5 linked regions of the Ovis aries genome follow. The protein of the gene in region 1 purifies or fractionates together with the protein of each later gene. This does not show direct contact. Links are inferred from orthologs where the notes say so. Each region holds a gene or a part of one and is shown in the gene's direction. Other genes may lie near its edges.

Region 1 (5,931 bases):
CGGTCGGAGCTGCTGCCGGTGGCTCAGGTGTTCCCCGAGGAGGAACCTGGGCCTCCGGCAGGTGTGAATTCGGGGAGCTCCGCCCACCCCGGCTCCCCGAGCCGGGTAATGGAGGGAGGCGGTGGCCCGGGGAGCCCGGCTGTCCAGGGCCTCTTGTCTCAGCTCTGGAAGGTGGTGAACCGCGGCCTGAAAGCAACCCGACCCAGGTAGGCCGCCGAGGCCCTCAGACGGTGGAGCCGTTTGAACGTGCTCTGCTGTTCGCCTCCCTGCAAACTGGCTACTCTCTAGAGACTTTCAGACTTTTTAAGCTCTGAACGTCATAATTCGCATACTTGGTTTTTGTCTTTTGCTGAAGTGGAGCCTAAGTGTCCAATCAGTTGCCTTTCACATAACTAGTGGGGGAAAAAACCACATGGACACCACTGCGATAACTCCGGGCAGTTCAAGAAACTTGATTCTTAATTTAAAATGGGGATCATAAGAGCTTCTTAGGGTTGCTGTAAGCCTAATTCGTGGAATGGTGATTGGCATAAAATAAATGCCTAGTAAATGTTAGCTGCTGTTATGAATTCAATTTTGATCAAAGAGCACCCAGAAGGACTTTAACTACAGAATAGCAGTTATTTTCAAAAGATTTAAAATGCATTTTCTGCAAAATCTTTGGTTTTGGAAAACAAAAGTTTGTAATGAGTACAAATGAATATTACAAAATATAGCTTTTAACCTTAATGTAATGCTAACTATATTCATAATTAGATTTAGTTAATATTTTTGTTTGAGGTCCTTGGAGGGAACTATAACCAAAGTTAAATCTTTTTTTTTTTTTCCTTTAATGAGCATCTGATGCTTTCCCTGAAATTTCGGGAGGACTATAGGAATTCAGAGCACGTTGTCCTTGATGAGTAATTCAGTTTGCTGTTCTGTAGGTAATAGCTGGGAAGTGTTTCAGTTGCTGTTGTGTGTGATATATGAAGATTTGTTGGTACATTTTCAGTTTACATGACATTCTATTGATATTTGGTCATTATTTCATCAAAGGGGCACTTTAATTGCCTATTTTCAATCGCTGCTATGTGTTGACCACTGTATCAGAAATATTTTAGGTATATATTCTCTTAATTTCTCACAGCAGTTGTGAAAATTGGATATTCCGGAGTAGAGAGTTTGAAATGAAGGCACTTGCTCCAACAGAAATTAGTATAGTTATATCGAATTAGATCCCCAGATGTATGTTTGGGAGTGGTGGGAGGATAGATGTGAGATTGGAGCATTTTTTTAATCACAGAAAATTCTTTATGCAGAAGCAGGAAGAATAGTATAATGAACCCATCAACTAGCTTCAGTTATCTTGTTTTATTTATACCCCCATTGTTTGGGAGCAACTCAGATCTATTATTTCATTTGTAAATATTTTAGGTACAGTATGTATTACTGAAAGATAAGAGGTCTTCAGTGCTGCTGTTTAGATAAAGTAGAGGAGATTTTATTGTCTTAGATGTATGGTCTCATAGATATGTTTATTAATGAGTTGATTGTTAAGAGAGATTCTTGTATAAACTCGTTTCATGGGCAAGACAAATTTCTTACGAGGTACCTAAATGAAATCCAACAGTGACTTGAGAAGGAGAATCATCATATTTAATGTTATTAAGCACAGGGTCAGATTTTGATTAAAAGTAGAAGAAAGCTATTATGATTGATTTGTGAGTTATTTAGTGTTAGTCACTCAGTCGTGCCCAACTCTTTGAGACCTCATGGACTACAGCCCACCAGGCTCCTCTGTCATGAGATTTTCCAGGCAAGGATACTGGAGTGGGTTGCCATTTCCTTTTCCAGGGTCTTCTGCACTGCAGGCAAAGTCTTTACTGACTGAGCTAATGATTTGTGAGTAGCTTGGAAAATAATTTTTTTAAAGTTTGCTAGTATCTTTGAGAATTATCATTATTAAATGATAAAAGAAGACTTAGAAGTTGCATTTTAGGCTAGTTTTTTGTAAGTGTGTTAAATAGAAAATAATGACACGTTTAATTGTGAGCCCCAAAACTGCAGAAGAGTATAAGTAAGTAGGACACTCACTCACTCACCATCCGGAGAACCGCTGTTAACACTTCCATGGATGATGTATTTGAGGACATGAGAATACAGTGTTAAATCCTTTAGCCACCAGACATAGATCTGTTTAAAATATTTGTTGCTCCAAAGTTACCATTAAATAAAAAGCATGTGCCATTTACAAGGAGCCTTCAAAGAATAATGGCTGACTTTTATTGAGCTTAACTGTTTTAAGCTCTAAGGTTTTTTCCTTAATTGACTTAATTTTACTCAAAACCATTTTAACCTAAGTAATCTAGTTCCAGAACCAGAACTAGTCACCTTTCAGGTTGCATGGGTTGAAAATCAGCTCTGTTGAAGCTCTGTCACAGTAACTGTGTGACCTCAGTCAAGTCACCTAACCTTTCTATGCTTGTTTCCTCATTTTTTAAGGATTGGAATAGGCAACTTTATAGGGTTGTTGAGTGGCTATGTTAAGTATTTAAAACCATCTGGCACGAAATTGAGTCTTTAGTAAAGGTTAGACTTAGAATGTTTACAGAGGCTTAAAAATTACAGCATGACTTTAGGCTCAAAGCTCATACCTTTGCTTATTAATCAAGGCAGTGAATTAAAGTAAATGGCAGTCAGTGTCCAATAGAGGTTCTAGTTGTCGTGTATTACTGTGTTGCAGGCAAAATTTTAAAGTGATGATGTGAGGTTTGCTTTGTTTTGCTGATTTGTATTTTTAATTACTTCATATTTGTTTTTTTTACAGGTTTCTTTACCTCCAGAAAGAAAAGAATTGACTCCTTGCATCCTGGAAGTTCATTTAAGAAACTGATATTAGGGACTTCTTTCAAATTTGGACATGGCTAATCGAGGAGCAGCAAGACCCAACGGGCCAAACACTGGGAATAAGATCTGCCAGTTTAAACTGGTGCTTCTGGGGGAGTCTGCTGTTGGCAAGTCGAGCCTTGTGCTTCGTTTCGTAAAGGGCCAGTTTCATGAATTTCAGGAGAGTACCATCGGGGGTGAGATTTTCTTTTACCTTTCTTCATTTAATTGACTCATACGTTGACAAATAAGATTTTGCAGTTCTGATTGTATGATGATGGGTAACTAAATAGGTCACAGCATGAATAAAAGAGCTGAGCTGCAGACTCAAGCTTTATAGCTTGATTTTTGATAAGATAATGTGTTTTGCTTTTTTTTGATAATGTGTTTTAATATTTTGATTTCCTGGTTATCTCCAAGATCATAAAATACAGATGCAAACATGAGTAGAATCAGTGTCCCAAGTCTCAGATTTGATTGGTATCTTTCTTGATAATGTTTAAAAGCATTTTCAAATTATCACACGTCTGCTGAATTGTGTTGGCTTTAGAATGAATGGCGAAAATAGTAAAAGTAAAGAGTAAAAGAGTTACCATTTAAATTCTAAATAACTGGACTATTTACAAATTACACTGATTTGCAAAACTAGTTACATTTTATCAAACATGTTTAAGAATGGTCCTAGGGTGAGGGAAGAGAAGAAGCCAGTGATTAATGAAGAGGGACGTGATTAATGAAAAGGGAAATGAGACCTGGAGAGAAAGTGAAAGAAAAGGGGAAAGAGGTGGCGTCAAGACTGCTCACAGGGACACAGGGACGGTGTTCAGACTGGAGGGAAGGAAGGTGTGGGACCAAGAGGAGACAGCCAACAGTGCTGTACTGGGAAGAGATGAGAAGTGAGATCCCTGAACTTAGGTCTGCAGCTGTGTAGCAGTGGGGCAAAGCCCGTTTTGGTTTTGCTTAATGTGTCAAATGAGCTTTTGAATTAGGTAATGTCAGAGGAACCACACAGCTATAAGATTCACGCTACTTTGCAAGAGGTGTGTAATTAAGCAGGACCATATTTTTTCAGGTGTCCACGAATGTATTTTTAACCCCATGTTTTAAAAAGTCAAACACTTTACTTCTGAAGCATGTAAGGTAGATGCCCTTTGGCATATGGGAACTTCTTTGGAGCCCATCTTTAGAAGCGTGACTTACGCTGTGCGCTGGGCACATGACCTCAAGCAAGTGCACTGAGAGCTATGTTACGATGTTAGATCCTCCCTTTAATGCAAATCACGGGACTCGGCTGTCTCCTGACTTTTCTATAGGAAATGCAGTAGACAGCGGATATTTCCTACCTAACAGACTAGCAGTATGACAAGGGCCAGCCAGCCCCCAGTGTTTGCGGAGCATGTTACAGTGCGATCCCATTTTATTGTTAATACTTCATGTTTGTTTATAATGAGTGAGCATCAGAAATACAGTCCTTCACATGAGTTTTTTATTTTGATTTAGAAATCTTGGTATCTTTAAAAATTGTGATGAACAATATATCACACATGCTTTGTTGTTTCCTTGTTAATACATGTGTGTATATGTGGTTTAGTAATGAAGTATTACCTCTCAAGCTTTAGCCTCCTCCAGAAAACAAACTGGACCAAAGGAAACTAGTCCACACAGTATATGAGTCACTCAGTTGTGTCTGGCTCTTTGCGTTCCCATGGACTGTAGCCCACCAGGCTCCTCTATCAGTGGAATTCTCCAGGCAAGAATAAAGAGTGGGTGGCCATTCCTTTCTTCAGGGAGTCTTGCCGACCCAGGCATTGAACCCAGGGTCTCCTGAATTGCAGGCAGAATCTTTACCAACTGAGCCACCAGTGATGCCTAGCCCATATGGTAGGAAAAATTTTAAAGACTTTGGAGACTGTGCCCACCCAGCTTAACCTGGTGCAAAAGGTTAATTATTATAACTGCTTTTTGGCAAGTGATCGTTGCTTGCAGCATTTCCCAAAATACACGTGCATTGTAGGCTAAACACCTGGGTCAAAATGAGTTTGGGACTTGCTATATTCTTACCCTCCCTGCCTTCACAGTACATATTAAAATAGAAGAAGCAGTGAAACACTGTAGTAAAGAACTTAATTCCTGGGAAATGTAGGCCGAGAGGAGTTTTGTTTTTGTTACGGACACTCCCAATAACCTTCTAAGAGTACTTTTTCCTAATGACATCTCAAGGACATTTAAAAGAAAAGTTTAACCCCATGTCATACATCATAAATATACATATCTTCTGATATGTGTGGATGAGTGTGTGTATATAATCCCTGTTTCCATTTAATACCAATTAGATTGTTTACATTTCATTAATGAAATTGTCAAAAAGTTTTCATTCTAACATGTAAAACTTGTAATACTTTGTACTTGTAGAGATTGAATCTGGCATTTTTAACCACCTTTAGAAGGAATTTACATCCAAGTTTCTGTCTTAATGGTTGTTGAATACCTTTTCAGTGTGTTGACCACATTTTAGTCCTGGTTTTTTGTTTTTGAAAGATAATTAATGTGTTTAAGGCGTAAGATGTATTAACTTGTTTACAGAGTGAGCACTGTTTTATGCTCTTTGCTAAGCAGCTCTTTACTCTTAAGGACTAGAGTAGATTGTAAGCATCTAAGGATTTCAAGGTTTGAGTTGTTTAAGATCTGTAACTCGTAGGTAGTGTGTGTTTTTGTCTGGCTGATGTGTAGGGGGAGTTATCTAAAAATGAACCTGGCCGGATGTTTTATGTTTCGTCTGTTCTTTATTTTAGATTTAACTATTTATGTTGAGTAACATTTAAGAGCTCACTTAAACTTTCCTTCTCTGGTTGCGTTGTAAGGTGGAAATGATATACTGCACTTTTGAATTTGTGTATTCTGGAACCTTAGAGTGGTCAAGAACATTCAGATGTCGTCAGTTTTTGTGGTGGTTCTTAAACATGGTGGCTTGATTTAAGAAAACAAGAATCCATGTTGTCTCCCTGTGTCGCCCGCGCCTGCCCCTTGATTCTGTAGCTCTCATAATGAGATGGGTAGTTAGGG
Region 2 (6,670 bases), on another chromosome or scaffold:
GCATCACTGGTGGGACCGGAGATGGTGCCTAGTGGGGAGAGGAAGGGCAGGCTATCTGGTTCAGGGCTCGCCCCCAGGGCTGTTGAGAGAAGGTTTTGTGGGCTCTTGTCTGCAGGTGGCCCGTGATGTAGCCATGGTGACTGGGGGGCTGGGTCGCCAGCTGTTGCAGAGAACGGTGGTGCCACCTGCAATCAATGCCCCCGTGAGTTACAATGACACTGCCCCGCGGATCCTCTTCTGGGCCCAAAACTTCTCGGTGGCATACAGGGAGCACTGGGAGGACCTGACCTCCCGCACCTTTGGGGTCCAGGACCTCAACCTGACTGGCTCCTCCTGGAATGAGTCCATTGCCAGGTGAGGGCAAAGTGCGTGCCCCTGACTGGGTCTTTGTTTAGGGGCGTTCAGCGTGAGGACGCAGGTGGTGGTGTAGGGTGGGGCCGCTGCTCAGAGCTCTGCCTGTTCACGCCTTCTCATCCCTTAGCTGGGGCCTTGGTTGTTAACAGTTCCTAATCACCCTGGATCCTGGTGCCACCCTCTTGGGCAGCCTCATGGCCCAGCCTGAGCACTTTAAGCAACTCCAAGAGGGAGTCTGGGGGTTCAGGGAACCCAGAGGAAGGAGCCCTTTGCTGGAGGTGGGGTACCTGTGTGCTACCTGGTTCCTGACTTGGAAAGGGATGGGGCCTCAGGTCTCCTATCTGTCAAGCTAGGGTGCTGGTTCTTTAGGTGGCTCTGCAGGAGGATCTGGTACAGCTCAGGTAGAAGGAGACCTAAGGGCCTTGCTCGGAAATGTTTTCAAGGCCATTCCAGAGTCTGAAAACCCCTCTTCCTCCGCAGGCTGGTGCTGACCTATGACTCACTCTTTGGGACCATGGTGACGTTCAAGTGAGTCTGAGAGGCAGGGGTGGGTGGGCTGCTGTGGCTCCAGCCTTTCCAGCTGCCTGACCTCCCTCCGCGATGCTCCCCCCCCAGGTTCACTCTGGCTAACCGCTTCTACCGGGTATCTGCCCGGTACTGGTTTACCTTGGAGAACCTGGAAATCCATAGCAACGGTTCCGTCGCCTACTTCAATGCCTCCCAGGTCACGGGGCCCAGCATTTATTCCTTCCACTGCGAGCATGTCAGCAGTGAAAATGAGGATGGCAACCTCCTTGTGCCTGACACACAGCCCTCTCTTTGGCAGATGACTTTTCGGGACTTCCAGGTAGGAAGGGAGGAGGGACTGTGCCTGATAGTGGGGAAGCCGTGGCTGGAGGAGGGGTTCGAGGGGAGCAGAGGCCTGCGAAGGGTCTCTGGGTCCTTTCAGGTTTGGGCCTGGGAGTGTAGGGGAGTCCCGTACCCTTGCTGCTCTCTTCCCACCAGCTGGGGAACCCCCAGCCCTTACTGGGCTTCTCTGGGTGGGGCCACTCAGTGCTTTCTGTCCCTCAGATCCAGGCCTTCAATGTGACAGGCGAGCAGTTCTCCTATGCTAGCGACTGTGCAGGCTTCTTCTCCCCGGGTATCTGGATGGGGTTGCTCACCTCCTTGTTCATGCTGTTCATCTTCACCTATGGTCTGCACATGATCCTCAGCCTCAAGACAATGGACCGCTTCGACGACCACAAGGGCCCCACCATCACTTTGACCCAGATCGTGTGATTCCACACCTGTAGGGGCGGGGGATGGGGGGGGGGATTGAGGGCGTGCCTGAGGTCCAGGTTGTCACCTTCCCATCAGAGGCCCACTGGGCAGGAAGGCTTCTCCCTCTTCCGCCATTGCACGACTCCCTGGCTCCCCCTAGCTTGTCAGGCTACCTGTTCAGCCTGCTGAGGGTCTTCCCTAGGCTGCCCACTCCCCACCACATCTCTCTCCACAAGGTGTATATATTTCTGCATAGACAGTAGACAGATCTCCCAGGCTTGATCATTATAAAGGTAGGGGCCATCAGTTCTACAAAATCCACCCCCCTTCTCCTTATTTATTCTGATTTCTCCACCTTCGCTGCTTGCTGTTGATAGTGCTTTTGTGTAGCCAGTCCTCTCTTCCCAGGCTCTATGGGGTTCCTTGTAGCAGCCAGGAGCTGTTCCATTCCCTGAGTTTGGGGGGGAGTGTGGAAGTACTATTTGTCTGTCCCGCTTAGCTGGCGTTATTATTTTATTTTTTGGTGATGTGCTAACAATAAGACGTACACTGGGGTTTATTCCTTTGGCCTAAGAAGGAAGGGATCTACATGGCAGGTGGGATGGGTGTGATCACGGGGTTTGGGACCTGTTCCTGTCGGGAGTACCTGGCAGGAGCCCTGGGGTGCTCGTGGTTTCCTTCCGAATAAAATAAAGACGGGTCGCCATGCTTGGGCTTCTTGTCACTCATTTCTGCGCTGGGCACAAGGAAGGGAGGATGCACTTGGCTGACGGCCGAGAGAGGAGGCCCGAGGATGGAGGGATGGAGGCTGCTTTTCCAGGGACCAAGCGGAGGCCGAGAGGGTTGTTTGCTAGCTGGGTTTCCCCCGGCCCCCGCCTCAGCGACTAGGGGAGGGCGGGGGCCGTCAGCGCCCGGGAGAGGGAGGCGGGGGAGACGGCCACGACAATAGTCGCCCCCACGTCCCTAGGGGCCCGCCTCGGGCTGCTGCAGCAGCGCGCGCCCAGCCGGCGGGGCCGCGCCGAGCTTCCCGGGGCGGGGCGCGCGCGGCTCCTGCGCACGGATCCCTGGCGGACCTCAGCACCGTCTGCCAGGCCGCGCCGCCCCGCCCCGCCCCGCCCCGCCCCGCCCCGCCCCGCCTCACCGCCCTCTTTTCTAGGCCCTCGGCAAAGCGGCGCGGCCCGCCGAGTGGCGCGAGTGCTAGAGCCCGGGCTCCAGCAACCCTCCCCGGGAGGCAAGCGGGGACAGCAGGGGCCCCCGGTCGGCGCGGCGGCGGAGGGGAGGGGCCGGGACTCTTTGACGTGGCGGAGGGGTTGAGCGGCACGGTTGAGCCGCCATCTTTGGTCCACTGCGGCGGCGGCGGCGGCTGCGGCGGCGGCGGCGGCTGTGGCGGAGGAGGAGGAGCCGACGGGCGCTGACACCGAGGCCTGACCATGGACGAGGAATACGATGTGATCGTGCTGGGAACCGGACTCACCGTAAGTGCGGCCGCCGGTGTCCAGGGCGCCGCCTGTCCTCCTCCCTGGGATGCTGCAGCCCCCGGCCCCATCCTCCCATCAGTGCCTGCGCGGCGCTGTTCGGTCCCCGAAAAGATAGCCCCGTCCCCAACCACCGTGACGCGGCCTCCATCCCTGTCATGGCCGGTCTGCCAAGAAGCGGCCCCTTTTCTGGCTGTCTCTCTTGACCGATTCCCCGGGCCCGACCCCCAGCCCCTACCCAGGACCAACTTAACATCCCTTCTCATTTTGCGCTCATTCTGACGGGGATGTCGTGGTACAGGGACCTCCAGTCAGATCGGGGCGGGGGGACTTCCCAGGGTGGGCTTTCATCCTGCCTTCCCAGGTTCTTAGGGGGCCCGAGGACCCAGGGAATGTTCCAGAAGGAGCCGTGGTGGGGACCGTGACCACATTCCCACTACCCCACCCCGGTTTCCCATGGAGACCTCGGGGCTGAGGCGCATTTGCAGCCTTTGTCCTTGGGCTGGTGACAGTGACTGGTGAGGTTGTTTGCCCTCCCCCGAACCCTGTTGGACTGCTGCCCTGAGAGATGCCTCCCCAACAGTCGGGTGTGGAAGCCCCTACTGTGACGGGGAAAGCTCAGGGTCAGGGGTTCCTCTTTGAGGAAAGTGGCCCAGGGTGGGGCCTGGGATTTCGGCACCATGCTAAGCCTTTACTTCCTTTTCGGGTCCTTTGCTTGTCCAGCTAGGCGATCCCTGTGTTTTATTTGCCTTTTTGTGGGCTTCTACGTCGATAGATGATTTTCTTGGCATCTTGGTTGCTTGAAGACCATCCATGTGTCTGCTGGATACCCTCTTCCTTGTTCACCTTTTTGCCCAGCAAGGTTTTAAAAGGAAACCATGGTCAAATGAAGGTGTCCCCCCCCCCCCCCAATTTCAGGCAGAGCGACCAGCCACAGGTGCAAGGAGCTGTGTGTTGAGGCAGAGGCCCTTCAGGTTGACTCTCCCCTCAGGGTTGGAGTGGGGAACATGGTCAGGGCTGCTTGTGGGAATGTGGGCAGATGGGAGTGCAGTGAACATTGCCCCTCACTCAGGAATGTATCCTGTCGGGTATCATGTCTGTGAACGGGAAGAAGGTGCTGCACATGGACCGGAACCCCTACTATGGGGGTGAGAGCTCCTCCATCACCCCCCTGGAGGAGGTAGGCTGCTCTGGGCCCAGGCCTGTCCCTCGTTAACCTCTTGCATGGGGTGCTGAATGAAGCAGCTCCCCAGGTTTTCTGGGTGGGGGGCGGGGGCAGGGGCGGGAGTGGGAGGGGGTTCCTTGAGATGCATCTTTCTGTCTCTCTTTTCCCTTCTGCTGCCTGCAGCTGTATAAGCGTTTTCAGTTGCTGGAGGGGCCCCCTGAGACAATGGGCCGGGGCCGAGACTGGAACGTTGACTTGATCCCCAAATTCCTCATGGCCAATGGTGAGGGAGACGGAGGAGGTATTGTGGGAGGCGGGGTGATTGGGACGAGCAGAGAAGGGTCAGACTGCAGACCAGGGACAGACAGACCAGCTTGAGCTTGTGAAGGGAGCCATGCTGACTGTGTTGCCTTTCCCACACCGCCCTGCAGGGCAGCTTGTGAAGATGCTACTGTATACAGAGGTGACACGCTACCTGGACTTCAAGGTGGTGGAGGGCAGCTTTGTCTACAAGGGGGGCAAGATCTACAAAGTACCATCTACCGAGACTGAAGCCTTGGCTTCCAGTGAGTGTGGGTCCCATGAGCCAGGGAATCGGGGTGGGGGAAGGGGGGATAGCTATCAAGAGCAGGATGGCCCTTGCTGCAGGCCATGTTTCTTGTGCAGTACCAAAAGCCCCTTGCTCTATCATCCCCCTGTGTGCACCCACTGGTTGCCAGGAGAGGTGTCCAAGTGCGAAGGGAATATGGTGTCCTGGACAGAGGCTTCACCTGATCAGTGAAACATCCCCAAGTGTCAGAGCTGGGAATGCTCTCAGAGGCTGTCCAGCCAGACTCACTCTTGGTACAGTTGAGAAAACAGGCCAATGAGCACAGAGGGGTTAATTGAAAATCACACAGTGGTCAGCAAGAGAACTCTGCTGGGAGTTAGGGCACCGGCTTGCTCTGCCTGCCTGGCAGGTGGAGAGGGTCACGGCCCGTACCTCAGTGGTGCTTTGCATGTGGCCCTCACAGACCTGATGGGCATGTTTGAGAAACGGCGCTTCCGCAAGTTCCTGGTGTTCGTGGCAAACTTTGATGAGAACGACCCCAAGACCTTTGAGGGTGTCGACCCCCAGAACACCAGCATGCGTGACGTCTACCGGAAGTTCGACTTGGGGCAGGATGTCATTGACTTCACTGGCCATGCCCTAGCGCTCTACCGCACTGATGAGTGAGGGGAAACTGGCATGGCAGATGACCCTTCAGCCGGCCCACACCCTGCCCTCCCACTCCTGCCTGCTGCTCCCTTGGCTCACCCTGCCTACCTCCCATACTCAGCTCCGGGCTCACTCACCTGTCGCCTTTTCTGTCCCTTCCTTGTGTTTGACCAATGGTCTTTCCCAGGCCTGCAAGGGTGGGAAGGCTGGCCTGATGCCAGGGTGGGGGTGCACTGGGCCTTCTGCTCTTGGAGCCTCTTCTGACCCTATTTCTCCCAGCTACCTGGACCAGCCATGTCTCGAGACCATCAACCGCATCAAGTTGTACAGCGAATCCCTGGCTCGGTATGGAAAGAGCCCGTATCTGTACCCACTCTATGGCCTTGGCGAGCTGCCCCAAGGCTTTGCAAGGTGAGGGCGTGGCTTCTGTCGATTGGCAGTGGAGAAGGCTGAGGCCCACAATGGAAAGGGCCCCCTTGGGCATCTCCACTGTGTTTTGTTACTTTCTCACTGTGGGCTTAGTTTACTTCCCACCATCCTCGGGTGATAGCAGCCTAGTGGGGCATTGTAGTGCGGAGATGAAGGATCACAGATAGGGCTCGCTTGGCTCCTGGCTGGAGTCAGATGGCACGAGGACTGGGCCTGTGGCCTTGAAACCTCCGGTCAGATTCATCAGAGCCATTCATTCTGTTCCCTGGGATGTTTCCCTGAGGAGCTGCCCTCATACTAGCCCTTAGCTGGAAATTTCTGGCAGTAAGTCTAGAGAGGAGGGACCCCTCCAGGTTCAGTCTTGAGGTCCTGGCAGCAACAAAGCTTGGAAGAGCCCCCAGGTCTCCTGAGCTCTGCCTGCCTGAGGCCACCTTCTCCATGCCCTGCACTGCTGGGGGCAGGGCGTGTAGTAGTGCTGGTCCCCATGTCTCCCAGGAGGCACTCTCATGGTTCCTCTCCCCACTGTAGATTGAGTGCCATCTATGGGGGGACGTACATGCTGAACAAACCAGTGGACGACATCATCATGGAGAATGGCAAGGTGGTGGGCGTGAAGTCCGAGGGCGAGGTGAGCCTTCCTGCTGCACAGGCACGCTGGGCTGGGCTGGGCTCAGCCCATCCTTTGAGACACTCTTCCTGGTCACCCTAGCTCTGCTGGGGCTCCTACAGCTTGGCCGGGCGCCTCAGCCCCGGGGACCGGGGCTCCAGAGGAAGACGGTAGTCACT
Region 3 (5,931 bases), on another chromosome or scaffold:
CAGCTTGAACATCTGGAAGTTCACGGTGCACGTGTTCCTGAAGCCTGGCTTGGAGAATTTTGAGCATGACTTTACTAGCATGTGAGATGAGTGCAATTGTGCAGTAGTTTGAGCATTCTTTGCCATTGCCTTTCTTTGGGATTGGAGTGAAAACTGACCTTTTCCAGTCCTGTGGCTACTGCTGAGTTTTCCAAATTTGCTGGCATATTGAGTGTAGCACTTTCACAGCATCATCTTTCAGGATTTGAAATAGCTCCACTGCAATTCCACCGCCTCCACTAGCTTTGTTCATAGTGATGCTTCCTAAGGCCCACTTGACTTCACATTCCAGGATGTCTGGCTCTAGGTGAGTGATCACACCATCGTGATTGTCTGGTCGTTTTGTACAGTTCTTCTGTGTATTCCTGCCACCTCTTCTTAATGTCTTTTGCTTCTGTTAGGTCCGTACCATTTCTGTCCTTTATCAAGCCCATCTTTCCATAAAATGTTCCCTTGGTATCTCTAATTTTCTTGACGAGATCTCTCATCTTTCCCATTCTGTTGTTTCCCTCTATTTCTTTGCATTGATCACTGAAGAAGGCTTTCTTATGTCTCCTTGCTATTCTCTGGAACTCTGCATTCAGATGCTTATATCTTTCCTTTTCTCCTTTGCTTTTCGCTTCTCTTCTTTTCACAGCTATTTTAAGGCCTCCTCAGACAGCCATTTTGCTTTTTTGCATTTCTTTTCCATGGGAATGGTCTTGATCCCTGTCTCCTGTACAATATCACGAACCTCCATCCATAGTTAATCAGGCACTCTATCTGATCTAGCCCCTTAAATCTATTTCTCCCTTCCACTGTGTAATCATAAGGGATTTGATTTAGGTCTAGAAGAGTTTTAAGCCAGAACACGATTGCTTAGCAGGTAAAGAATCTGTCTGCAATGCAGGAGACAAAGGAGACATGAGTTCCATCCCTGAGTTTGGAAGATCCCCTGGAGGAGGGCATGGTAACCCTTTCCAGTGTTCTTGTCTGGAAGTTCCCGTGTCAGAGAAGCCTGGCGGGTCACAGTCCATGGGGTTGCAAAGAGTCAGAGACTACTGAGTAACAAAGCACAAGGCATAAACAGAATTTCATTTTCCATTGACCCCTCTGAGGGCAGCATAAAAAATGATTACACAGGAAAATCCTAGAGGCAAATTGACTAGTCCAGTTCTGAGATGTTGCAGTTGTTCCAGGGAAAGATGGTGCATGTCTGAGCTGTGTCTAGGCATCTGTGTCTCTAAGAACATATGGAGTCAAGAACTAAGAGATAAAATCAATAGGATGTGGTGATTGCATCCAGAGAGTGAAGGGGAAGAAGAACTTTTTCAGGTAGACTAGGTAGAGATAAAACACAAAATGACCATTAGAGTAACTAAAGTGTGAGGTAGAGGCTCTGTCTGACACCAGTCCTCCTGTTTCTAGAGACTAAATGTCTCCTTCAAAGATGTATATAGTGTGATCCCTGGGTGGAAGCAAGCAAAGCAGGCATTTCAAATATTTAATTTGAAAATAACCATAGTTAAATGGCAGGTCCAAAAATATGCCCTTGAATTTTACTTATGAAGGAAAGAAACTGTTCTATTTACTGGATGCAGGAGTATGCAATTATAGATGGCCATCTAGCAAATGGTTTTGATTTTGCAACCCATATAATGTATTTTGCAGCTGCTTGACTCCATCATTGCAATGCAAAAGCAGCTATAGATAGATAAATGAGAGTGACTGTTCCAATAAAGCTTTATTTATGAAAACAGACAACAGGCTGGATCTGGCCTGTGGGCCGTAGTTGTCAACTCCTGGCCTGGCCTAATGGATGACCTTGTGTGTACATTAGGACAGAGGGTTGAAGTGGTACAGACAGACATTGTAAACTTTAAAGCAAAACAAGCATATGTCTTAAAACCCTTTAATGACTTTCTTTTACCAGTAGGGTAGCATGCAAGCTACCTAACTTGGCAGGGACCCCTATCTAACAAAGAAGTATATTCATCTAAATAAAACTAGGAATATGTTTAGAATAGAATAGCAGTGCTACTTGCCATATTTACTTTCTTGTATGTGTGTATATGTTTGTTGTTTTTAATTAAGATCACATTTACTTTCTTATTCTCTTACCCTGCCAGACTAAGCTCAGCTTAAATCTTGACATTTCAATTTCTATTATTATTAATAACAGTGATAACAGTTTACAATATAAAGAAGTTTACTCTCTTCTGTGCTGTAGACAAAGAGAGCAAGGCTCAGATGCTAATTAAACATTCCCTAGATCACATCACTACTGCATTTGGCTTGGTTTTCTATTCAGAGTCCATAGTCTTGGATTATGTAATACTTCTCAAAGCAGAGGGAAGAAAACTAGAAAAGCAAATAGTTGAACAGTGAACAATGTTCTTGATTTGAACAGTTGTTAAAATTGGTATATGCTAAATTCGACTACAGATATCACAGATAAGCTCTATTAAGAAATTATATAAAGAATATTAAAAGAAATTTTATTTCTGTTGACACGTAGAATAAATGACCTTAAAGTCTTGACTAGGCACCTGATCAAGTACTGATATACTTGAAGGGTGGGTCTGAATGAATGTATTTGAGTTCTGAAAGCAGATTTTAGAAGGTTATATATGCTGTATAAAGTTCTGTAACTTAATGATTATAAGGATGATACTTCATTTTTTAAATTGTTCCAAAAAGGTTCATATATTTTATGTTAGTGTTCAAAAACTATTGTGCCCTTTCTTCCCTGGCCAGGCTGAAGCACTTTTCCAACAAATCTGCCCCAACGAAGACTTCTGTCCTCCCCCACCGAATCCTGAAGACATTATCCTTGATGGAGACAATTTACAACCAGAGGCTTCAGAATCCAGTGCCTTACCAGAGGCCAACTCAGAGACTCCCAAAGAAAGCTCAAATCTGAAAAACCCAGAGGAGCCCTCTAAGTAATGAGTATATGCCAAACTGGATACCACACTGTGGAAAATCCTCCTAGCCTGAGAGTCTTCTTGATGGAAGAACTGTTTGAAAAATGTTACAAGACAGCAGCCAGTTAACATGCAGAATTACCAAGAAAAACAATAAAAGATATCCAAAAGGGGATTTTCCTTAAAGAGGACATTCTAAGACCACAAAACACTTTGTAAAGCACATTGACTTGCCTGCTTTAAGATACCAAACCTGTGGAATTAGCAGATAAAAATTATAAAGTGGATTGATTCCCAGAAATATAGCTATGTTTATGAAAGTGATCCTATGCCTTGTTAGTAATTCTGTGGTATTAGGACAGCTTTTGCCTGCCACTTTGCTTGAAAGCCACATATTTTGAATTGGCTCAAAAATTTCCTTTGATTATTTGAGTTATATTTTCTTTATGGGTGTGAGCATTGTGACACAAATGATGAAAGTATATGAGTTTATGTAGCTGAAAAAAATTAAAGTATTGTAATCCAAGCAGGAGCCTATCTTTGAAATAGAGGTTTGTTTTGTTCTTTATCTTGAAGAGAATTGAAGATACTATATTAAAGTAGACACTTTTACAAGCAAGGCATGAGTCCCTTGCTGTTGTTGTTTTTTTTTTTTAATGTTAATAGTATTTGTATTTGAGTCCTGAACATTCTACAAAAGCTCAGTACTGGAAAATGAAAGGAAAGATTTGAATAGGCTTCTTTGGTGTTTGGAAATTCTTTCTAGTTGAGTACCTGGAGCACTAACCTGATTGTCTATGGACCTAATTTTGTCCTAGCTATACTGATATTAGGCAAATATGATGATGATATTTGCAAATTGCCTAATATGATATTAGGGAAAATGTTTACTTTCTGCACCTCAGTTTCTCTACATGTCTACTGTATAAGAATTATTTTGAAGATATATGAAGTGCTATCCTTAGAATGATTTTTCTGGAATAAAAGTGCTTTCAGAATTTTCTCATTGACTTGGGGGTGAATATCAGATCTCGTGCAGCAAATAGTTGCTTGCTGTCACTTCCCCCAATACAATAAATCATAGTGTTTTTATTGCATTAAGCTTTTAAAATAAAAATCTATTTCTTAAATTAGTATTTAATAGTCTTATAGAAGAGTAAACATAGTAACATATAGAATTGTGGTTTTAAATCTTTATAAGGAAAACATTCTATAAACTCTTCATATTCCTTTTCTAGTAATTAGACCTGAAACCACCAATGACTCTAAACAGAATATGACAATTGATAAACCCTAATATGCACTTAACATAAAAATATAAGGGCTGTGAATAGACAGCAAATCTAGGTACAGTGAGTGCCTGTATTAAAATCTTTCCAAATGCTGAGCTCTGATGGTTTATCTTCTTTGAGCAATAGTTTGGACTTAACAACTTATTTGAATAAATAAATTCATTGAAAGTGTATTGTCATGCTGTCTGGCCGGTATTGCTGATCATAGAGCCATGGCTACAGTAGAAAGCACATAGTTCTTACATTCTTCAGCTGTAGCAGGGCTTTGACCTCTCCAGATTTCAGCCAGCTCTTTACGGTCACAGACTCATGAGAAATGGAAAGAATGTAGCTCTTGCCTCACCTTTTAACCCCCCAGCAGGGTTTAAATTCAGCAGATATAGCTGAATCCAGAGGAAAACCTTCCAAGCCTCTCAGGCTACTCCTAACCCCTCTCCCCATTGCACAGCCTTTCCCCTATCTCTTTAATCCCCTCTATCCCTCTCTTCCCTTTTTATAATGTTATACAAATCAGGGACAATAGAATTACATTATAACCTACTTTGTTATGTGGATTCAGATCTGTCTTAAATTATATTTCCTGAAACCCAACTATGGTATGCACTGAATGCAAAATAGACACCTATAAGCACTGGGTATTGGTCCTGCCCTGCAGTACCAGCAATATAAAAGGTTCCACTATATGAGAGCATTGAGTTTGGATACAAATGCAGTAAGCTGCACCAATTAAAATATTGTACTTTGTTATAGTCTTAGAGTTAAGGCTTCTTGATACATCATGCACACTTATGTAAACAGCCAATCAGGGTAGACCCAGAATAACTAGAAAAATTCTGATAGCTTTACTACAGTTCTCTGAACAATGAAGGAGATATTCTGTGGTCTCATGGCCCAATCTATACTGTACCCTATTTCATCCATTAGCCAGTATCAGAATTTCTCTTCTGGATTATTTATTAATACTGTTGAAATGTTTAAAAGCTCCTGAATATCATTAGTGATGATTAAGATAATACACAGCTGTTTAAAACTTTGTGTTAGAAAACTTTAGATACTTCCTCTTGCCTCAGAATGTAATAGAAATTATTCTAAGAACATTCTTTTCAGCTGTCTTACTGCAAATACTTATTTTCAGAGCTTTAAAGAAAAGTCTTTCGGTTTTATTGTAAAACCGTAAGCATGAAGTCATATGAATAAAATTTAGATGTTTGTACATGATGCAGAAATTTCATTAGCTAATTTTAAATTTTGAAAATTGCTGTTATCAAAGAATTGTTATTCCTGTGTTTAAAATGTGTTATGCATGCTTCTTCTTAGCCAAAGTGATAATACCATTCAGTTTAGTCAGCAATATGAAAACAGATTACTAACCCTATGTTGCTACTGTATTTTTGTCTAGTTGGTATGCCTGCCCAGAAAAACATACATATATATATATAATAAACATATATTTTTCTACAGGAAAACTGAGTTATAATTTTCCCATCTACTATTATACTTAGCTGCTTATAGAAAAATGGTCATGTTAATGATTAACTTCTGGAATAGTAATTTCTGAGATTGGCAGCCCTCTGCCCAAAATAATGGGCATGCTAATGATTAACTTCTGTCACAGCTATAGTTCTGGAGAAAGCAAAGTATGTCTAAAGTCCTAAAAACCTCAAAAAAAATTTTTTTGTTGAAATTTTATCACT
Region 4 (5,903 bases), on another chromosome or scaffold:
GGTGTGGTCCTTTCGTGTTGTCATTGGAAAGTGCACGAAATGTACCAAGTTCCTCTAATATGGCGTTATCAAACTCATTTATTCTTAAGGCCTGTGGTCTTTGCTCAGGTCTTTTTGCTTTTCAGTTGTTGCTTTTATGGATTCCTTGGGAGTCTCTCATGTGTATAAGCATTTCTGGAGTTACTTAAGGATTTGAAGAGATTTTGTAATTTGGCTGTTTCCCATTTTGGAAGATTTTTTTCCCCCACAATTTTTATCTCCTCATGCAGGCCACGTTCTGTCTATGGCAACTTAAATCAGTAAGCCTGTGGACTGGGAGGTTGGTTCTTTCAGGGGAAGAGCCATACAGACCACATGAAGATCTCATGCAGCTGCTTCCTTTCAAGTCTCTTACCTAGTTTCTGCCTGTTTTTAGTCAGTATCCAGTGCTTCCTGATTGGTTTTGTTGTTCAGTTTTATTTATATGCAAGAAGAATAGACTTACAAAGCTGTTCTCTTGTTACTGGTCAGTGTGGGTGTTTTTTTTTTTTTTTGACTATTTTCATAACAGAAAGTAAGACATCATTTACATGGTTTTGACTGTTTTAGAATTGATGCTTTAATGACTTAAACTAATGCCTTTTGGAACGAAATTGAACGAATGTTGCCTACTATTCATGAAAGTCTAAGAAAGGAGACTAGTAGTTTAGCAGTTATAAATTACTAATTGTAAATACTTCTTTTTCCCTAGGCTAAGTGCTATTTATGGAGGTACCTACATGCTGAATAAACCAATTGAAGAAATCATTATGCAGAATGGAAAGGTGATTGGTGTAAAATCTGAAGGAGAGGTAAGAACCTTTTACAACTTAAAAAAATGATATTCTTGTAAAGAAAACTTTATTGTCTAGTAAGTACTTAACTTGGTGTGGACATTGAGCCCGGATTTCAGACCACATATGTTTTCTTTATGGTAACTGGGTGTTCATAACGACCGAAAACTAGTTACAGGTGTGCTTTTGTTTAAAAAAATTTTTTTTTCTATTGTGTTGATTGTTGCTTAATACTAAAACAGAAATTACGAACGCACTCTAAATGGTAAGTTTCATTTATATGCTGTGGGTTGGTGCCTATCTCCCAAATTTCATTTAAATTTAGCTTTATTTGTTCCACGTACAATTTATTGGTTGAAATGGGGCTTGGCCAATACCGTTTTTTTATTATTCATACAATTAATAATGTCAATAATAATTACTATGAACATTTATTATTTGGGGTTTAGCCATGGAACTGGCCAGGAGTTTTGAACAGTGTTTCTCAAATTTGAATATAAATTGTTAATTTCGTTAAAGTACTTTTTTTTTTTCAGTTGTTCTGTGGTGGGTTTTCGTTTTCTTCCAAGTTCTCAGGGGGTGCCATTGCTGTTGATCTGCAAACCAGACCATATTTCATGAACCATCAACTTTTACAAATAGAACTATTAAAAAAAAAAAACCTCATATGTTAAAAAAATTTTTTTTTGGCATTCCTGATTGTATTCCATGGATTCAGACCTTAATCTACACTCACTAGTTGACCCTCTGACCCTTTATTGTTGTAGATCTTTTGTAACTATCTTGTGCTTTTAGCATACACATAATAGATGTTTAGGAAATAGGGGTGAATATTTTAATCTGATAACTCAAGGTTCTTTTTATTCATTCTTCTTTGTTTTAGGCAACTGCTTCCTCTTAGGACATTTCAGTGCTTTGATATAAAGAGGAAAACTATAATAATACATAAATTATCTTGCAACTTAAATTTTACTTGGGAAGTACAGACTTAGAGTGATTATGGTTTGTTTGTACCATAAGCGTTTATTTCTCACTGGGTCCATTCACATATAATGACATTTCTTGAACAGTTTCATTTAATTCTAGCAGTACGTGAGCCCTCTTCTGCCCAGTTCTAAAGCTTATATGTCTAAACACCATGCAACACATTTTATCTATTTGAATAAGATTTAAAATTCATAGATTTGCTCCAGGAGAACTTACAGGGATTGTTGGCAAAGCTAGTTTTAATAGTTATCTCTAATTCACTAATTATCTGTGGTTAACTTGATGAAGATAACAGGTGATGTTCAGGGAACAGTGGCATCATTATACCTTCTAAAAACATTGTGATGAACACTGAGTATTAGAAAGTCTTCAATGTTTTGTTGCAGATTGCTCGCTGTAAGCAGCTCATCTGTGATCCCAGCTATGTGAAAGATCGAGTAGAAAAAGTGGGCCAGGTGATCAGAGTCATCTGTATCCTCAGCCACCCCATCAAAAACACCAACGACGCCAACTCCTGCCAGATCATTATTCCACAGAACCAAGTCAACCGGAAGTCAGGTACGTTACAGAGGTCAGGCAACGTCTGCATAAATTGCAGTTTTTATCTATTCTATTAGAGTGAAGAAACTTTAGTTTACACATGGAAAATGTGATGGGTTTTAGCTCATAGAACTCCTAGACCATAACTTTGAAATGGACACGTTAGGCCAGGAGCCCTGCCTTGACTTCGACGCACCTCTTGGGGCCTCCCTTCCCTCCTCTAGAACCGAGAGCTGGACCCTATGAGTGCACTGTGTCTCGTCTGAACATTGTATGCTTGTGGGAGTTTATGCTTATTAGTTGACCTGGTTTCACTGTAACTTTTAGGCTGATGACAGCACATAGTACTATTATGTCATGATTTGTCAATATCTATACTTGCGTTTGCCTTTAGCAGTGTGCTAGAAAACAACTTGGATTTCTCTGATTAAGATCACAACTTAGCTCTGAAATCATAATTCTGCATCTGTTTGCTTTAACCATTGGTTTTCATCTAAGTAGCATTTCCCATCTTCCTTTCAGTTAGAGCCCTGAAGGTTTTATTTATATAAACTTCAACTTAAAAGGAACTATTAACCTTTAAATGGCCAACTATGTATTTTCCATATAAGAAATCAAATCACAGAAGGTTATTACTGAAACAAAGGGACTTTGACTAAAGTAATCTCTCAAGGGTTCCCAGTAGATCTCAGGGTCTGTCAAGGTGAGGCCTTCCCTGGTGGTGGTTCATTGGTTAAGAATCCCCCTGCCAGTACAGGGGCATGGGTTTGATCCCTGGTCTGGGAATATTCCACATACTGCAGAGCAACTGAGCCCATGCTCAGAAACAAGTGAAGCCTCTGAGAAGGCTGAGCACAGCCAAAAGAATAAATAAGAAAACAAAGAGTAAGGGGAGCCTAGTAATTGTTTTCTGTATTGGAAATTATGTAGTTACTTTAGTGTTACACAGACAAGTGTGGAATTATTATGAGCTTATGTCAACATAAGAGTAGCTTATGCTGTTTGCAATTTTTATTGCTTAAAAAAAATGAGAAATCAGTAGTTAAACCCCACCTTGGCTAGTCAGAACCTTTCTAAGTGCAGGACTCAGGGATGAGAGACAGGTTTCCACAGTTAGCTGTGGTAGCTGGGCAGACTCATGTCCACGTCCACTACTCACTGCCATGTGACCCCTTCCTTCATCTCCAGTAGGCTCAAAGTGGCTGAATATTTCCATCCCCTATGTACGACTGACCGTGTTTGCCTCCATATAGAACTTGTCTCAGAAGATAGTCTGTTCCAAGTAACGTTAACTCACAGCTCGCTGAAGTTGGGGTGAAACCGAGTGCGCACCTCGGCCCCATGTCCACAGGGCCTGGCAGTAGTGGCTTTGCTTGCTTCCAGATATCTATGTCTGCATGATCTCCTCTGCACACAATGTGGCCGCACAAGGCAAGTACATTGCCATCGCCAGCACAACGGTGGAGACCAAGGAGCCTGAGAAGGAAATCAGACCAGCCCTGGAGCTCCTGGAACCAATTGAGCAGAAGTAAGTGCTGGGTTTGTTTATGCCAGCTCAGACCCGGGACCGACTGGCTCCGTGGTGAACTGAACCCTTGAGAACAGTGAGTGCAGCCGTCGGCTCTTCCCAACCTCCTTGCCTGGGCTTGGAGTATCAGGCCCAGCAGTGAGGGGCATGTCAGCTCCCTTGCTGACTGAGTTCTCTCTCCCCTCCAGATTCGTTAGCATCAGTGACCTCCTTGTACCAAAAGACCTGGGAACAGAAAGCCAGGTGAGTGGCTGTCTGAAAAAGGTAATTACCAAGCTTCATTGGGTGATGTCACCAGATAAGTTTCAAGTCTTTGTGATTTTCATTTCCAGATCTTTATATCCCGTACCTATGATGCGACAACTCACTTTGAGACGACCTGTGATGACATTAAGGACATCTATAAGAGGATGATGGGATCCGAGTTTGACTTTGAGGAAATGAAGCGCAAGAAAAATGACATCTATGGGGAAGACTAACAGCAGTACATGTTATCATCTAATTAGGACAAACTTAAAATTTGGCAAATGATGCATATTGTATGAAATCAGTATTGTAAGGCCTGCTTTTGTAATCAAAACTGAGAGATTGCAGAGCACTGTACCAGTAAATATTCCTCCCCTTTCTAATATCATGTATTAACTTGTTTTCATGGAGTGGCTCTTCCGAATTGGTGGGTTCCCACGTTCTGTTCAATTTAACCAATATTGGCTTGTGTTTCCTAGTGAAGGATCAGTTTTAAAACCTTGTGATACTGATACAGAGAACTTGATACAGTATTTGTATCTTTTAATCAGTGTAGCCTTTGCAGTTATGAGCTTCCGCTGTTCAAGAGCTGGGTCAGTGCAGCTTGCGTGCCATCTTGTCTTCTTGACGGTGAGGAGGTTCAGAACTGAATGTCTGTAACTGGGGACAGCGTCCCTTACTCCTCCCCACCCCTTTCTGTTCACGTCATGTGTCAGGACAGTGCCCACCCAGCCCAGCCACAAGCTTGGTTTACATGGGCCTCCAGTTCTAACCAAACTCCAGACTTGGATAGTCTTTTGGAGGAAGCCTGTGTGCGGTGTTTTAACCTATTAAAACTGATGAGCGCAGAGGGGAAAGAAACCCATCATAAAGCAGGTAAACGTAGGAGCTTCTTCTGTATCCCAGATGTGGCTTCTTCAACGGACCAAGCTGCAGCACAGTATTGATTTGACAGAACCTCTGCTCCAGTGATGTCTCCAAATGATTTCTGTACTGCAAATAAAGCCCAACTCTGGAAACCAGCTCCCTCTTGTTCGTCTTTTGTGTCCTGACAACTCAGAGCTAGTGAGTACTGCACTGGCCTGACAAGCTGCTCATCTCCTTCACTAGAGCTGGAATCAGATGTGAGGGTGAGCGCTGAAGACCCCTCGTGGACGGTGGAGCACCACCATCAGGCTGCACTGTGAGTAGACCCTGAATTACGTCCTGACACAATGTTTATTAGACCCTCCTAGGAATCCCAAGTAGTGGTTTAGAAACAGACTCTTGTCATGAGAGAGTAGAGGACCCTGCCAAGTGGAGTAGGTGCTTTAATATTTCCATTTATTTCAGATTATAGCTGCACATAGTTTTAATGGTACCCCCTTTCCCCTGGATAGTTCAAGCCTCACTTTATGCTGTTACCATATCAGAGGAATGAGGACATTGTGACTATTCTCTCGGTCTGAGTGTTGATTATTACAGATGAGTCTGAAGGACATAGACTAAGGTAGGTGCTCTGCTCTGTTAAAGGATTTAGGGTAATAACAACTTAGATTACCCAGGTGGTTACTTTAGCTCAGTCTCATACTGCCCACTTTTGGGGGGCTTGTTCTGCACATGGTATGCACCTCCCTGGATGACATCCCCGATCATCCCAGTTGAAACCTCTGCCCTTTCTAAAGAGAGTTATCTAAAATTCCCACAGGCCACCCACTTGTCACACAGTAATTCACACCGAACTGTTAATGCAGCAGAGGTGCCTGCTGGCCTAATGACAAGACAAGAGAGCACCAGCGTGTCTTCGTGTT
Region 5 (6,547 bases), on another chromosome or scaffold:
CAACTATGATGTAATAAGATTGCACCTGTCACATCTGCACCTGTGGGCACCTGTCTTCCCAGATATCTGGTTGTACATGTGAGTGGTTATAGAGTAGGAAGCAAGAATAGATGGTGACCAAAAACTCAACCAACAAAACAAAAAAGTAGCTGGCGAGGTGGAGCGAGGACTGGGCCAGATCAGACCTATGTCCATTTGACCACTTACTACATGGGTGACACTTAGCAAGTTACTTAGCCTTTCTCTCTGAGCCTCTATTTCCTGGCATATTTGTTAAGAAAATCAGAAAATTACTACGACTTCCCTGGTGATCCAGTGGTTAAGAATCCGCCTGCCAATGCAGGGGACATGGGTTTGATCTCCAGTCAAGGAACTAAGATAGCACATGTTGTGGGGCAACTAAGCCCACATGCACTAGTAGAGAGAAGCCCCCACATGCTGCAATGAACACCCAGCCCAGCCAAAAAGAAAAAACTATTACCATTATTATCTACCTTACCCAGTACTGTCCTTACTTAGTACTGTTCAGGCACTGTCCTAAACACTTTACATAGACTTTACATTTAATTTTCACTCAACACTAGCAGGTAGGTAACATTATTTTCCCTATGCTTCAGCTGAAAATACTGAGACACAGTAGAAACTCAACACAGGTATTAAGTACCTTGCCCAGGTCACATAGCTAATCAATGGCAAAGCCAGAATTTGCACCTAGGCAGTTGGACCCCAGAGTCCATGTTCCTAAGCACTCTCCTTACTGCCTCCCACATGTAATCCTGTGTGTGTGCAAAGCCCTTGACACGGTGCTTGTCATTGCAGTCCCAGTGAGGAAGGTGACTACAAGTATAGGAGGCCAGGGCACGTGTCTCTTTCCCTGAAGCTTGTCAGGACAGAATAGAGAGTGGATGCTTTACACGCATTTCCAGGGCCTAAGAAAGGTGGGGAAGAAATATAAAGAATTTAAAGCCATATTTTACCCAGATGTGTCTTATACATATGCCACATGGACACACACTTCTCACAAATACACAATCAGTGACCACTCTGAACCCATGAAGCTTCCATCAGGAAACCTTCCTGAGCTGGGCCAGGCCTCACAATCTCTCAGATCCCTAAATGTGCACAGCACTGACCGTTAGGCCCAGCCAAGCCAGCCCTCACTATGCAGTGTTCTAGTCATTCAAATAACTATCCAATGACTACTGAAAATCGGGCCCAGGTATTGGAGAAGGAGGATCAAAAAAATATTGTTTCTGTCCTCCAGGAACTTTGAATCTCCTAGGAGAAGCTAGCATACACATCAAGACTTCAGAGTAGGACAGAGGAATAAGTGTTATCATTGACAGATTGAGGTATTTTGGAAAGCTTCCTGGAGGTGACACTTGAGTTAAATTTTAAAGGTGAACGGGAGTTACTCTGGCAAAGGAAGAGGTGTGGAGGAAGGAGAGTAAGGAAGAGGGAACAGGTTAACAAGCTTGGGAAACCCCAAGCCGTTCTATCAGCAGAAATGAAGAGTTTTTCATAGAGGCAGAACATGAGGCCATAAGGATAAGGAGGGCCCAAATGCCAAAAAGCCTGATGTGCTGATCTGAGAGAATCAGAGTTTTTCCCAAAAAGCTTCATGGAAGGGTTGTTGGCAGAGACACATCACAATCAAATCTGCATTTCAGAAAGGTTGACTCAGCAACAGAGGTAAAGAGGTGGCAGGGTGAAAATGAGGGGACATTGAAAAGACTTTCAACTATCTCTGGAATAAATGAACTGAAATTCTTAGCACAGTGGGAATGGAGGGGGTATTTATGAGATATCATGGAAAAGTGCGGAGGCCATCCACTGATATAGGTAACATGAAGGCCAAAGGTTAGACTGGAAGGAGAGGAGCCAATGATACTTTTTGACTTCTGGAGTTCCAGGTGTCTCTTGAACACCCAGGTGATACCTAATAGGCTTATGAATATGTGTGTGTCTGTATTTTTTTTTCCATTATTACAGTTTGCAAGACATGTGGACTGGAGATACAAGTTTGAGTGCCATTGGTGTACAGGTAGCAAGAGTGTCAATGTAGTCACTCAGAGAAAGTGTGGGCCAGGACTGAGCTCTGAGGAGCTCCAGCTCCAAGCAGTTTAAGGCTTGGATTTGTGAACATTCTTCCAGGAGCAGGGTGTGAAGAAAGAAGTAGTAGGAAAGGAGATCAACATCATTTAGAGGAAAACAAGCTGAAGAGACGAGGAGAGAGGGACGAAACTGCAGGAGAGACCAGAACATGGTGTCAAGTCGAGGAAAGTCAGTAGCATCAAACACTGCAGAGGTCAACGAAGATAAGGGCAGGAAACTTCATGTTAGGTTTGGCAACTAAGAGGTGGCCAGTGCGGTCAGAGTGAGGTCACTCGAGCGCTGAAAGGGTGGTTTCCGACTGTGGAAGAAATTTTTTCAACTGAAACGCAGTTTGAGCAGCTGGCTGGGAACTGCACCCCGCGCTGCTTTCCCGAGCTCATCAGAGTTAAGCGTTCACACTAACACACCAGAAGGCTAACAAGGACTTGGCGTTTTCGAACAGAGCGCGCAGGAATCCTGCGCAGGCGCTTCCGGAGTCGGAAGCTCTCCTGCGAGCCCCTCCCCAGGCCTGCAGAGGGCGCTGCGCCTCGGAGAAGCCAGAGCGTGACGCCGCTCTAGCCAGCGCTCGGGCTCGGTGGCGGGCGCCGCAGCTCCGCGTCCCGCTCGCCTCCTCCCAGCACAGGTGGGTCCGCCCGCGGGGGGCAGCAGTGCTTGGGAACCTTGGGGCGGGCGGGTAGCGGCAACCTCTGGGCACAGAGTGGTCTCCATAAGCTAAGTGCCCCAACTCGGGCCCAGCTCCGGCGGATCGGGCTGTAGGCAGGGCCGCACGTGTGCAAGACCAGTTCGGGTGGGTTCCTCCTGGACTTGCAGTGTCTGTCCCGGGACCCCTTAACACCCCAGGGGTCTCCGCCCGGGCTTGCTCACGGTTTCCTGGGGACATCGAGGGGCGGGGCTCCGAGGGGCGGGACTCCCATGATTGACACGTCTTTCGCCAGGTTTCACAGGCACCACTGGACCCTTCCCCTGCCCTGAATCTGAGCCAGCACCATGGTGAGAACCCTGAGCCCAGCTCCTCACCTCTGCATGCGCACGCCCTTGCCCTTGTCCGGCGTGGGCTTGCCTCCGTTTCCCGATATAAACCTGGGGCTCCGCAGGGGTGGTTCCGGTGGGTCTGCCCCAGCAAGGCAGCCTGCACTCTTGCAACCATAGCACGGGCGCCTGAAGGTGAAGACATCGGAAGAGCAAGCGGAAGCCAAAAGACTAGAGCGGGAACAGAAGCTGAAGCTATACCAGGCAGCCACCCAGACTGTCTTCCAGAAGGTGGGGCCCTCAGAGGTAGTCCCCTCCCACCGTGGCTCCCTTAGCATAGCACTTGACCAAGAACTGCGCCTTAGAGTCAGGTTGCTAGAATCCACATCTAGGTTCTATCACTTACTAGCTGTGTGTCCTTAGGCAAGCTACTGAATCTCTTTGGACCTCAATTTGCCCATCTGTAAAACAGGGCTAACGATTGTACTTACTGCATAAGGCTGTTGTGAAAATCAATGATTGCAAGATTACATATTATCCCATAAAGGGCTTTGTATAGTACTTGTAGTAAAGTGTGGCATTCACAGAACATTCAGTAGTTCTATTTATGTTATGGAGCTCTGTAGAAGAAGAGTGATGTGATCCCTGATCCTGTTATCTATCTTCTCAGCGCCAGGCTGGAGAGCTGGATGAGTCAGTGCTGGAACTGACAAGCCAGATTCTGGGAGCCAACCCTGACTTTGCCACCCTCTGGAACTGTCGACGAGAGGTGCTCCAGCAGCTGGAGGTCCAGAAGTATGTAGAGGTTTAGGGCCCAAGGAAGATGGCCCTCGCTCTGGCCCTGCCCGGCCTAGGTCCAGGGGTGGAAGAAGAATGGGGCAGCCAGGGGCATAGGCAGAGGGCAGTGGAGGGCTAGGTGCAAAAAGTCAAGGGTGAAATGAGACTGGGTGTTGGAGGGCCCTGACCCCCATTCCTCTGGGCACAGGTCCCCTGAGGAGTTGGCCGCTTTGGTGAAGGCAGAACTGGGCTTCCTGGAGAGCTGCCTGAGGGTGAACCCCAAGTCTTATGGTACCTGGCACCACCGCTGCTGGCTGTTGGGCCGCCTGCCAGAGCCCAACTGGGCCCGGGAGCTGGAGTTGTGTGCCCGCTTCCTCGAGGTTGACGAGCGGAACTGTACGTGCCTGCAGATTCTGTCTCTCTGCCTACACCTGCCCCATGTCCCGGTACTAGGGCCTCAGTAAGGTCCAGAGTTGGGAGGGATGGCCAGGATGGGTCCACTGAGCTGATGACACAAGGGATGACGAGGCCAAATGTGTCCTCCATGGAGGGCACAGAGGTGTTTCTTGGGGTCTCCAAGGGGATGCCACGGTCCCAGCCAGGCAGCTCTTGCCCTGCTTCTGAGATGTGTTGTCTGCCTATCCCCCCAGTTCACTGCTGGGACTACCGGCGGTTTGTGGCTGCACAGGCAGCTGTGCCCCCTGCAGAGGAGCTTGCCTTCACTGACAGCCTCATCACCCGAAACTTCTCCAACTACTCCTCCTGGCATTACCGCTCCTGCCTCTTGCCCCAGCTGCACCCTCAGCCAGACTCTGGACCCCAGGGGCGCCTCCCTGAGGATGTGCTGCTCAAAGGTAAGCAGGGTCAGGGAGTGCTTGAGAGGACTCTCCCATGCTGCCCTTCTGACCCTGATGCCTAGGCCTGCTCCTGAACCTACCACTCGGGAAAATGCCTGGCTCTGGGGATGCATAAGATCCAGCCCCTGGCTGCAGAGAGCCCAAGTGTCCACTTGGCTCCTGATGTACGCAGCCCCTGGGTAAGGCTGGCATATAAGTGAAACTGAAGGCAGGAAGTTCTCCAAAGAGAGGGCAGTATGTAGGGGTAGACAGGAGCCCAGAAGGGTCCTAACCAAAGCACCATGCCTCCTTGGCCCCTGCAGAGCTGGAGCTGGTGCAGAACGCCTTCTTCACTGACCCCAATGATCAGAGTGCCTGGTTCTACCATCGCTGGCTCCTGGGACGAGGTGAACAGTAGGGAAGAAGTGGGGGATTGGAGCCAAGAAGGAATGGAAGGATATTTAAGGAGACCTGAGACTGTTTCTTCTCACAGCTGATCCCCAGGATGCCCTGCGCTGCCTGCACGTGAGCCGGGATGAGGCATGCCTGACTGTCTCCTTCTCTCGGCCTCTCCTCGTGAGTCCCGAAGCTTTTGCTGAAGGGTACCGTGGATGGTGGGCCTGGTGCCGTTGGAGTGATGGTCTGTCTCTGTCCCCTGCATCAGGTGGGCTCCGGCATGGAGACCTTGCTGCTCATGGTTGATGAGTCACCCCTGGCTGTGGAGTGGAGGACCCCAGAGGGCAGGAACCGGCCTAGCCACGTCTGGGTATCCCAGGGTTGGTGGGTGGAGTCGGGGCTGGGACAGGGCTGGGGTGGGACAGTCAGAAAAGTGGTGCAGCCTGGGCTTTCTCTTAACCCCGTGCTCCCAGCTCTGTGACCTGCCCGCCACCTCCCTCAACGACCAATTGCCCCAGCATACATTTCGTGTCATTTGGACAGCAGGCGATGCCCAGAAGGAGTGTGTGCTCTTAAAAGGTGAGCCAGCCTGCAGCCTCCCCCCTTTGCAGCAGCGCCCCCAATCCCTGTCTTCGTCTCATGGGTGTCCTCTCCTACCCCTGCTCTGTCTCTCAGGCCGCCAAGAGGGCTGGTGCCGGGACTCCGCCACGGATGAGCAGCTCTTCAGGTGATGAGCACAGGGAAGCACACGGATAGGAGCAGGGCTGTGCACTCTGGGCAGCTGGGTGGGGTGCTGAGGGCTCAAGCAGATGTCTCAGACTGGCTACTGGGGATGACCAGCACTGCTCCCCCACCCTGCCCACCCTCAGGTGTGAGCTGTCAGTGGAGAAGTCCACCGTGCTACAGTCGGAGCTGGAGTCCTGTAAGGAGCTGCAGGAGCTGGAGCCTGAGAATAAATGTGAGGCCCGATTCCCCCGAGCTCCTGCTTCTCTGGGGGCCCATCCTAGGCAGGCTCCTTGCCAGGAGGATCCCTCTGTCCTAATCCCCACCCTCTCCCCAGGGTGCCTGCTCACCATCATCTTGCTGATGAGGGCGCTGGACCCCCTGCAGTACGAGAAGGAGACCCTGCAGTACTTCCAAACCCTCAAGGCAAGCTGGGTCCGCGGGAGTTGGCACCGGGGCAGCCCAGCACGCAGCGGCCAGGCAGCTGACACACAGCCCCTGTGCTCTCTTCTCCCCGCCAGGCTGTGGACCCAATGAGGGCAGCGTACCTGGACGACCTGCGCAGCAAGTTCCTGCTGGAGAACAGCGTGCTCAAGATGGAGTACGCGGAGGTGCGCGTGCTGCACCTGGGTCACAAGGTAGGGCGTGCGCATGCGCCTCCCCCACCCTCACCCCGCTGGCCCGCCTCCCTCTTCCTCAGGACCGGCTGTGTCTATATCTGCTCCTCAGGC

What was found.
Region 2: the proteins of RAB5A (region 1) and GDI1 purify together in Homo sapiens (affinity purification with mass spectrometry; 3 studies listed by BioGRID and IntAct, counting the BioPlex papers as one, with this or other methods). This does not show direct contact. The link is inferred for Ovis aries from reciprocal best matches to the Homo sapiens genes RAB5A and GDI1.
Region 3: the proteins of RAB5A (region 1) and CHM purify together in Homo sapiens (affinity purification with mass spectrometry; 3 studies listed by BioGRID and IntAct, counting the BioPlex papers as one, with this or other methods). This does not show direct contact. The link is inferred for Ovis aries from reciprocal best matches to the Homo sapiens genes RAB5A and CHM.
Region 4: the proteins of RAB5A (region 1) and GDI2 purify together in Homo sapiens (affinity purification with mass spectrometry; 3 studies listed by BioGRID and IntAct, counting the BioPlex papers as one, with this or other methods). This does not show direct contact. The link is inferred for Ovis aries from reciprocal best matches to the Homo sapiens genes RAB5A and GDI2.
Region 5: the proteins of RAB5A (region 1) and RABGGTA purify together in Homo sapiens (affinity purification with mass spectrometry; 3 studies listed by BioGRID and IntAct, counting the BioPlex papers as one, with this or other methods). This does not show direct contact. The link is inferred for Ovis aries from reciprocal best matches to the Homo sapiens genes RAB5A and RABGGTA.

The regions. Positions count from the first base shown.
Region 1 is NC_056054.1:278,210,022-278,215,952, forward strand, and holds part of RAB5A (ras-related protein Rab-5A), read left to right. Parts: intron 1-2,809; 5' UTR 2,810-2,902; coding exon 2,903-3,065; intron 3,066-5,931. UniProt on the Homo sapiens protein: The small GTPases Rab are key regulators of intracellular membrane trafficking, from the formation of transport vesicles to their fusion with membranes.
Region 2 is NC_056080.1:80,000,362-80,007,031, reverse strand, and holds the start of GDI1 (rab GDP dissociation inhibitor alpha), read left to right. Parts: upstream 1-3,047; coding exon 3,048-3,092; intron 3,093-4,164; coding exon 4,165-4,272; intron 4,273-4,440; coding exon 4,441-4,540; intron 4,541-4,688; coding exon 4,689-4,823; intron 4,824-5,270; coding exon 5,271-5,469; intron 5,470-5,734; coding exon 5,735-5,866; intron 5,867-6,412; coding exon 6,413-6,512; intron 6,513-6,670. Other genes in the region: ATP6AP1 (V-type proton ATPase subunit S1), read left to right, coding at 116-354, 835-882, 970-1,201, 1,426-1,635. UniProt on the Homo sapiens protein: Regulates the GDP/GTP exchange reaction of most Rab proteins by inhibiting the dissociation of GDP from them, and the subsequent binding of GTP to them. Promotes the dissociation of GDP-bound Rab proteins from the membrane and inhibits their activation.
Region 3 is NC_056080.1:77,404,227-77,410,157, reverse strand, and holds part of CHM (rab proteins geranylgeranyltransferase component A 1), read left to right. Parts: intron 1-2,775; coding exon 2,776-2,967; 3' UTR 2,968-5,931. UniProt on the Homo sapiens protein: Substrate-binding subunit of the Rab geranylgeranyltransferase (GGTase) complex.
Region 4 is NC_056066.1:42,505,197-42,511,099, forward strand, and holds the end of GDI2 (rab GDP dissociation inhibitor beta), read left to right. Parts: intron 1-730; coding exon 731-830; intron 831-2,185; coding exon 2,186-2,357; intron 2,358-3,722; coding exon 3,723-3,867; intron 3,868-4,055; coding exon 4,056-4,110; intron 4,111-4,199; coding exon 4,200-4,346; downstream 4,347-5,903. UniProt on the Homo sapiens protein: GDP-dissociation inhibitor preventing the GDP to GTP exchange of most Rab proteins. By keeping these small GTPases in their inactive GDP-bound form regulates intracellular membrane trafficking.
Region 5 is NC_056060.1:20,710,257-20,716,803, forward strand, and holds the start of RABGGTA (geranylgeranyl transferase type-2 subunit alpha), read left to right. Parts: upstream 1-2,671; 5' UTR 2,672-2,902; intron 2,903-3,050; 5' UTR 3,051-3,102; coding exon 3,103-3,105; intron 3,106-3,264; coding exon 3,265-3,375; intron 3,376-3,754; coding exon 3,755-3,879; intron 3,880-4,069; coding exon 4,070-4,257; intron 4,258-4,511; coding exon 4,512-4,715; intron 4,716-5,020; coding exon 5,021-5,104; intron 5,105-5,190; coding exon 5,191-5,273; intron 5,274-5,361; coding exon 5,362-5,463; intron 5,464-5,566; coding exon 5,567-5,672; intron 5,673-5,768; coding exon 5,769-5,820; intron 5,821-5,962; coding exon 5,963-6,051; intron 6,052-6,153; coding exon 6,154-6,242; intron 6,243-6,337; coding exon 6,338-6,454; intron 6,455-6,547. UniProt on the Homo sapiens protein: Catalyzes the transfer of a geranylgeranyl moiety from geranylgeranyl diphosphate to both cysteines of Rab proteins with the C-terminal sequence -XXCC, -XCXC and -CCXX, such as RAB1A, RAB3A, RAB5A and RAB7A.